2 linked regions of the Canis lupus familiaris genome follow. The protein of the gene in region 1 binds, or shares a complex with, the protein of each later gene. Links are inferred from orthologs where the notes say so. Each region holds a gene or a part of one and is shown on either strand. Other genes may lie near its edges. The genes, in order: SLF2 and SIMC1.

Region 1 (3,917 bases):
CAGATTGGATTTAATCAAGTTCTGACAGTGGCAATAATGCTTTCCTAAGCTGATTATAAAAAACTGAAAATATAATTTACCATTTCCTGTAGAAGCAAATTTACAAAAGCACAATTGAGACTTATATAACCTATAGTACTACAATGATTAACATTGGAATATGGATCCAGGGAATTGACAGTACTTCCTACGACTGAAAATCATGAGGGGATCTGATCCTATTGCTTGGTATCTCCAATGACTGGTACAAAATAATGCTCAATAGATGTTTGCTGAATGAATAAACAGAGATTATAAAAACTGAGTAAAACCTAAACAGATTCATAACAAGAGCAGATGACAGAATGGCAATATCAGTGATTGGGCCTATCTAGGGAGGCAGCTGAATTGAAGTGCATGCTGGCCAAAAGACAGAAAGGATCAAGTGCCAAGCCTGTATTATCTTCTTTGTACACTACAGTATGATGTTAATCTAAGTTAAACAGCAGAAATTAGAATGAGTCTTCACAACTAGTGTTTCAAAATCTTAACTTTTATATAAAAATTCTTAAGATATTTGCAAAAATAACATATTGCCTAGGGAAAACACAAAACAAGAGAAAAGGAAGAAAGTGAACAATTACAAAAACCAACTGTTTTAATTTTTAAGGATATCTGTACCTTACAGTAACACAAAAGTGAACCATATTACCAGAATTTGTATTCGGATTGATGTATTTAGAATTGTCAGCTGCATAAGGAGGAATGTCATCATATGTAGAGTAAAAAATTAACTTCCTGGCAAAATTCTGGTAAAACATATTCATTTTACTTAAAGAGAAGCAGTACACTATCAGTTTCCCTAAACAATTATCCACAGTGAGGTTGGAATGCTCAGACAAAACTTGAACAATCCCAGTCCTTTGTATGCTTCACAGGTCACATAAGAAGAGCAACACCCATCTTTAATGGTTTACTAAGAGTCCACAATGTTTGTGAGATGTTGGTAGAAAAGCTAACTGGTTATGAAACGAGTATCAGTGCCAGACTAAGGAAGAATCTATGCATTTGTTTTTATAAATCTAAAAAAATCAATGCCACAGGAGAATAAAGGAAGAAATGCTAGAGGTTCTGCAAACTGGTAAAGGACGATGCCTTCCATTACTGGTTGAGGAAAGAGATGGGAACGGATTAAGAAGTGGCTAATTCAAAAGAACACTAAATATGCTTTTACAGTAATTACTAAAAGAAAGTATATTATATCTTAAAATTTTAGATCCCAGGCTCCTTTTCGAGTAATACACCAGAGGGAAAATGGTTTTGGGTAAAACATACAAGAAACCTGTAAAATAACCATGAATGTAACTTTCAAGTAGGAACAGTTCTCTAATTTCATATGCACAGAAATGTCCATTAGTTATTTATAACTAGCTCTTTAAAATTATAACAGCTCACAAGCCCTTACCTGAAAATTTGGGGTCAAATGTTTTTGAATTTGAATTTACTGGATTTTAGAAAGGGGGTAACTCGGATGCATTACATAAAGCCCCCAGTGGGGTCTGACACTGCACCCCGAAGCATACACCAATATTTCTCCAGCAAAGCTTACAAATACACTCAGTGTGATAAAGCCCATATATAGTCTTCCATTACTTCTAGTCAGATTTGGCTGCCAAGTAAGATGTGGTGCCAAACTTACTGAAAACTTTTGATTTTCATAGCATCCTGGCTTCCACAATTAAGATAAGGGATTGTGGACCTGTACCACAACATTAGAAGATAAACTTACTGTGACACTTAAGTTACAAGCTTTTTAAAACTTAAAATAAAAAAGACAGTACCAAGTGCGTAGAGAATTTAAACATCTTTTATTGTCAGAGGATGTCATTTGATAAAACTCCCCATCTCGTTACAAAGCTCCCACAAAATCTTCACAAAAAAATCTAGCCTCTTGGAGAGGCGGAAAGCTGCCGAGGAAAAAACATATCACATTCCAAATCTGCATGTTCTTTAAGTATGAATTATCGTGCATACTGGACTATTAAGTAATTAATGGAAGGGTCTCCCTCGTCACATCGTACACAATTCCACCCACAATTTAGAAAAGATTTTAGACTATTATGCTACTCCGATTAGCAGAACTGAACGTACAAAAAAACCACCTCAATATGCACTTAGCAGTTAGGGCCCCGGGTCCAGCTCTCGGAAAGGACAAAAATCACGGTCTACCTAAGGCGGGTTCTCCGTAGCCACCCAGGCTGTGGTCCCTACACCGAGACCTGCGTCCCAACTACAGAAAAAGAAACTCGAAGTCCCAGAAGCCCCCGCGCGGAGGCGGGGCAGGGGTTTGCCAGGCCCCGGAACGCCGAGGCCTGAGCTCGCGGAGGATGGCGGGAACTGAAAGAGCGGGCGTCCGCAGTCCTCCCTCATACCCTTGCCCCCGCGACCCGGCCCCTTCTCCAACCCTCTGCACGGTACCTGTCCCCAGGACTCTTTGTTCTCTTTCCCGCTGCAGCAGGGGCGGTACTACCGGGTCTCAGATGGCAGCGCGGGGGCGACGACCCCGGGGCTGGGGATGAGGGGAAACCTGGCCTAGCGGGCATGCAGCGCCTTGTCATGTCGGCGCCGCTGGCGACGGCGGCATGAGCTGTGGCTGGAGAAGTTGGGTGCGTGGTTGCCGTCTTGCTGCTGGGACTCGGGGAGGCTGTCGGAGCAGAGTTGGGCGGCACCCCCTTCTCTCTTCATGGCGGTTCTCTCTCTTCGGAAGTGACTCCTGTGTGAGCGGGAAGGAACCTGAGGACCAACAGGGGGCGGGTCTTACTTGAAGGGTCGCACTCTGACTGGCTGCCGCGCCGGTCTTTCCAGTAGTGGAGCAATAGAAAGCGGCAGCCTCTCGGGAGAAGGCGGGGCTTCGAGAAGGGGAGGGGGTAGGAAAACTGCCCCCCCCGTCACGTGCGCGGCGGGGGGTGGGGGGGGGAAGCGCACAGTCGCATCCGGGCCGCGTCGGCCTCGGCAGGCACGCGGGGGCGAACCGGCGCGGGCGGCTGCGGGCGCTGCGGCAGCTGGCGACAGCCGCCTGTTCGAGGACGAAGGTCGAGGTTTGCAGAAGCAAACCCGAGCCCGGCAGCTGCCCTCAGTGAGGATGGCCAACGGTTGGGCTTCCTGTGTCCTACAATTGTGCCTCAGAAATCCCCAGCTGCTCATTGCATCGTCTCTTTAACATCTTAGGCCAAAGTGCCCTGATGCTGTCACCATTTCCTTGGTAATCTGCACAGCCCGATCTGAAGTCTTGTCCATTCTGTGAGAGTTCTTGTTAACGTGTTGTGGTGGGTGCTTTTTCTCTTAAGGGGGAAAAAACCCCACTGAAATAGAGGCTGTTTTTCTTCCACAGAAGCATTTTCTCAGCTGTTGAAATGAGTTATCCATGAAGTCTGCAACCCGATTCCTTGGAGATTTTTGAAAGGAACATAGGGTCAGCTTTCAATTACCCATGTTAAGTGTGGACAGCATAGATTAGTGAAAGCTGCCAGCAATCTCCAAATCTCCTTTGTAATGGGCTTGTGAGTTGGAGGCTGTCAGCCAGGGTTTTTCTTACAAATGGAGACTGGTCAGAATATTTCTGAGCCTCAATTTCTACATCTATAAAATGGCTATTCTACTTTTCTGGGAAATTGTAAACTATAAGATAAGCAGTGTAAACTTCACAGTTTGGAGTCTGTCGTTTAATAAGTATTGAGCAAATTAGCGTTCCTTTTCCTTTGCTCTTTAGACCTACTCTTACATACTTTACTATAAAATCTCCCAGAGACAGATCAGATATTGACATCTTATATACACAGACATATAATATATGTAATATACTAATTGTTGTAATGTACTGTTATGACGTATATGTCAAACCAAAATACCAATCTTCAAGATGTCCAAGCTTTGATTGG
Region 2 (3,817 bases), on another chromosome or scaffold:
GTCTTTCATAAATAAATAAATAAAATTTTTAAAGTCATAAACTACTTTGATTACTGATTATTTATATATGCCCTAATTTTTTCTTCTGAAAGTTTTTAGAATCCTCTTATTGCCCAGTATGCTTGTTGTAGGTCTATATTCACCCACTATACTGGGCATTCAGTCTAGAAACATCCTTCATTCCTAGAAAATAGAGTTTTTATGTCTGTTATCATGTTTTTAATTTCCAAGGACTTTTTAACTTTGTCTCTTATGTCCCCTTTTAAAATTTTTTTTTTAATTTTTATTTATTTATGATAAGCACACAGTGAGAGAGAGAGAGAGAGGCAGAGACATAGGCAGAGGGAGAAGCAGGCTCCATGCACCGGGAGCCCGATGTGGGATTCGATCCCGGGTCTCCAGGATCGCGCCCTGGGCCAAAGGCAGGCGCCAAACCGCTGCGCCACCCAGGGATCCCCCCCTTTTAAAATTAATAAAAAGTATTCTATTCTTGTTTTCTTCTTTCATGGACCCATACATTCTCATATCATTGATGATATTATGGCATTTGTTTTTGTTTATTTTCTGTATAGTCTTATTTTCTCCTAAATTGCTTTTTTAGGGGGAGAGGGGAGTTGGTCTTGGCTACTTTGACCTTTATTTATCTCTCATAATAGAATATTTCCATAAATGTCTGGTAAACCTTGGTAGTCTATCCAAGTTTAAGGGTGACAGACTCAACAGCTGATGGGAGTTCCGAGTACATGGGAGGAATTGTCATTTCTGCACTTCCCTGTAGGTGGAACTGACTGCCTATTTATTTATTTGTTTGTTTGTTTGTTTATTTTTTATTCATGAGAGACACACAGAGAGAGAGGCAGAGACACAGGCAGAGGGAGAAGCAGGGAGCTCCATGCAGGGAACCCGATGTGGGACTCCATCCCGGGTCTGCAGGATCACACCCCGGGCTGAAGGCGGCGCTAAACCGCTGAGCTACCCAGGCTGCCCACCATTTCTTAAAAAATACTTTGTCAATGTCTTCAGGTCTTTCCTGTTGGGCTGGAAAGGTTTTCCAGAGAACACTTCCTATTTTCTACATAAAGGATAAAGACTGGGATGCCAAGATTTTGAAAGACAAGTGTGGGAAAATAACAAGAGTCTCCGCGTCCAGCATGCATATGTTTATGTCATGCCCCTGTTGTGCTTTGATGCCCTTGCCTCCCAGCTGTGCCTGATATCCTAGTACAAAGACCCTCTGTTTTATCTCTGCAAGATGTTAACCTGTAGTTTAGGGTCTAAAATTTTCTTAAAGAGCTTACAAACCATTATGCTCATTTTCCCTTATATCCTTTAATTCTCACTTCGGAGAAGACTTACACTGCCATTTGCACAGCTTAGTGAAGATTCCTTTTTTTTTTTTTTCTTTTTTGGTAAATAGGATTAAATAGAATTGCTTTTCTCTATTGCTTTTGCTCTACTCTTCCTAAACCAGTTTTCTCAATTCTACTAAGTCAGTTAAAATCCATCCCTTTGGGCAGCCCGCGTGGCTCAGCAGTTTAGCACTGCCTTCAGCCCAGGGCCTGATCCTGGAGACCTGGAATCGAGTCCCACATCAGGCTCCCTGCATGGAGCCTGCTTCTCCCTCTGCCTGTGTCTCTGCCTCTCTCTGTGTGTGTCTCTCATGGATGAATAAATAAAATCTTTAGAAAAAGAATAAATAAAATAAAATCCATCCCTTTGCTAAAGTCAGATTAAGAATCATCCTTAAGCATCTCGGTGGCTAAGTGGTTGAACATCTGCCTTTCGCTCAGATTGTGATCCCAGAGTCCTGGGATCAAGTCCCACATGAGGCTCCCTGAAGGGAGCCTGCTTCTCCCTCTCCCATGTCTCTGCCTCTCTCTGTGTGTCTCTCATAAACAAATAAATAAAATCTTAAATTAAAAAAAAAAAGAATCATCCTTAAAGGGAAGGAGCACATGGGTAGCTCAGTTAGTTAAGCATTTGACTCTTGATTTTCAACTCAGGTCATGATCTCAGGTTTGTGAGATCAAGCCGCACATTGGGTTCCATGCTAGGCGTGGAGCCTGCTTACATTCTTTCTCTCCCTCTCCCTCTGTGCCGACCCTGACTTCTCTTCCTCTCTTAAAAAAGAAATCATCCTTAAAGCATGAGGGGCAACCCTGGTGGCTCAGCAGTTTAAGTGCCGCCTTCAGTCCAGGGCGTGATCCTGCAGACCCGGGATCGAGTCCCACATTGGGCTCCCTGCATGGAGCCTGCTTCTCCCTCTGCCTGTGTCTCTGCCTCTCTCTCTCTGTGTCTCTCATGAATAAATAAATAAAATCTTAAAAAAAAAAGCATGAATACACTTGCCTTATTTAGTTAATTGGTAACTTTTGATTTTATGATTAGCATCTCTTAATTGACTCCTCAAATCAAAGGCTGGGACCTTGACAATTACCTGCATCTAACCATGCATCCATCCCCCATCACCTACTTTTGCACCTTCCTGCACCCAAAGTGATCAACATATTGAATGTGCATCATTTCCTTTCCATTTTTATGTAATTTTATATCTAAAAATGTGTTCCTATACAGTATATTTTAGTTCCTTTCTGCTGTATATTAAAGGATATCATGCCATACATAATCTATTGGGACTTATTTTTCACTTTATATTATAGAGTACTAAGGTTTGTCCATACTGTTACTTATCACTGTAGCTTATTCATTTTCACTATGTAGTATTCTATTTTGTGAATATACTTCATTTCCCTTCCATCCTCTAAAATTTCACTGTTGTTGTCTCCTTTCCTTTCTTCCCATTCCTTGTGGATTTTTTAAAAGAATTATTTACTATAGCATCAGTGGGATTTTAGGAGGTAACAAAATTAGAAGTGTGTATTAAATCTACCATTTTTACCTGGGATACCTAAGTGATCATCAATAGTAATTTTGACTGTTTGAGATGGTTTTACCTTACTAACTTTTAGAGCCTTCACCCTGTATATAGTATGACTCTATTGCACATACTCTAAACCTCCGTTATTTGCATTAGTAGATGATACCTAATCCTAGAAAGCCAGCAAGGACCTGAGTGGTCATCCGGTCTGACTTTCCATCTGCTCCAGGAAATGTTCCTGGTCAGGAGGCCATGGATACTCTTTGACCTCAGAGGTACCTTTCAATAATCTCAGGAAAATGTCAATATTTCAGCTAGCTGTTATAAGCTTACTGCAATTAAATGTAGGGTTTCCATTAGACTTGTTTAAATATTGAAAATCACCTAAGATCCCTCTTCATTGCCTTTGGAGAAATCTAGGGGCTTCAGAGCCCAGGTTTAAGGCTGTGGTTTTGAGCACCATACAATAAGACAGAAGTTTAAATTTTTTTTGTTCTAATCTTTTTTCCATTGCAGGGATGTTATCAAGTGGTTGGTCAAAGTAGTAACTGAAGATGGATTAACTCAGCCCCCAAATGGGAATCAAACCTCTTCAGCAACAGGAATCTTGAAGGCCAGCAGTAACCATCCTTCTCCCCAGGCCAACCTGACAAAGAACACCAATCAGCTGTAAGGAGCAGGCACAAATTGTCTTTCCCAGGGCTGTTGGGATTTATTGCAGTAAAGAACAGCAGTATTCCTAAAAGAAGTTTCCACAAAATTAACAGGCTCTTGAAACATAGGCTGATTCTTACTAAAGACTGGCTTAGTTTGTCTAAATTCTATGCCAAAGTTTAACAAAAGCAGATGCTTTCCCTCTCAGATGAATAGGACTTCACTAAGTGAACTTAAGTTCATAAAGTCGAAGTGAAACAAAAGCTAGGGAATTTTGTTTCCTGG

What was found.
Region 2: the proteins of SLF2 (region 1) and SIMC1 are in contact, whole or in part, in a cryo-EM structure (PDB 7T5P), measured with the Homo sapiens proteins. The link is inferred for Canis lupus familiaris from reciprocal best matches to the Homo sapiens genes SLF2 and SIMC1. Residues at the interface, in NP_060591.3 of Homo sapiens: His738, Val772, Leu775, Lys778, Asp783, Phe786, Gln790, Gly791, Phe792, Thr794, Ser795, Ala796, Tyr797, His798, Tyr799, Cys820, Ile821, Gln825, Ser828, Met831, Glu832, Ile835, Arg836, Asp838, Thr839, Ser841, Asp842, Ser843, Pro847, Lys919; in NP_001295125.1 of Homo sapiens: Tyr426, Arg428, Leu431, Lys435, Leu438, Pro440, Val442, His443, His444, Leu445, Phe447, Gln448, Arg470, Arg471, Phe490, Asp493, Pro497, Val521, Asp522, Lys525, Glu526, Tyr528, Met529, Met532, Lys533, Gln536, Leu537, Arg571, Asn658, Gln661.

What each region holds. Positions count from the first base shown.
Region 1 is NC_049249.1:13,791,383-13,795,299, reverse strand, and holds the start of SLF2 (SMC5-SMC6 complex localization factor protein 2), read right to left. Parts: upstream 2,768-3,917; 5' UTR 2,598-2,767; coding exon 2,458-2,597; coding exon of another isoform or gene 2,406-2,457; exon of another isoform or gene 1,829-2,405; intron 1-1,828. UniProt on the Homo sapiens protein: Plays a role in the DNA damage response (DDR) pathway by regulating postreplication repair of UV-damaged DNA and genomic stability maintenance.
Region 2 is NC_049225.1:37,895,266-37,899,082, reverse strand, and holds part of SIMC1 (SUMO-interacting motif-containing protein 1), read left to right. Parts: intron 1-3,394; coding exon 3,395-3,547; intron 3,548-3,817.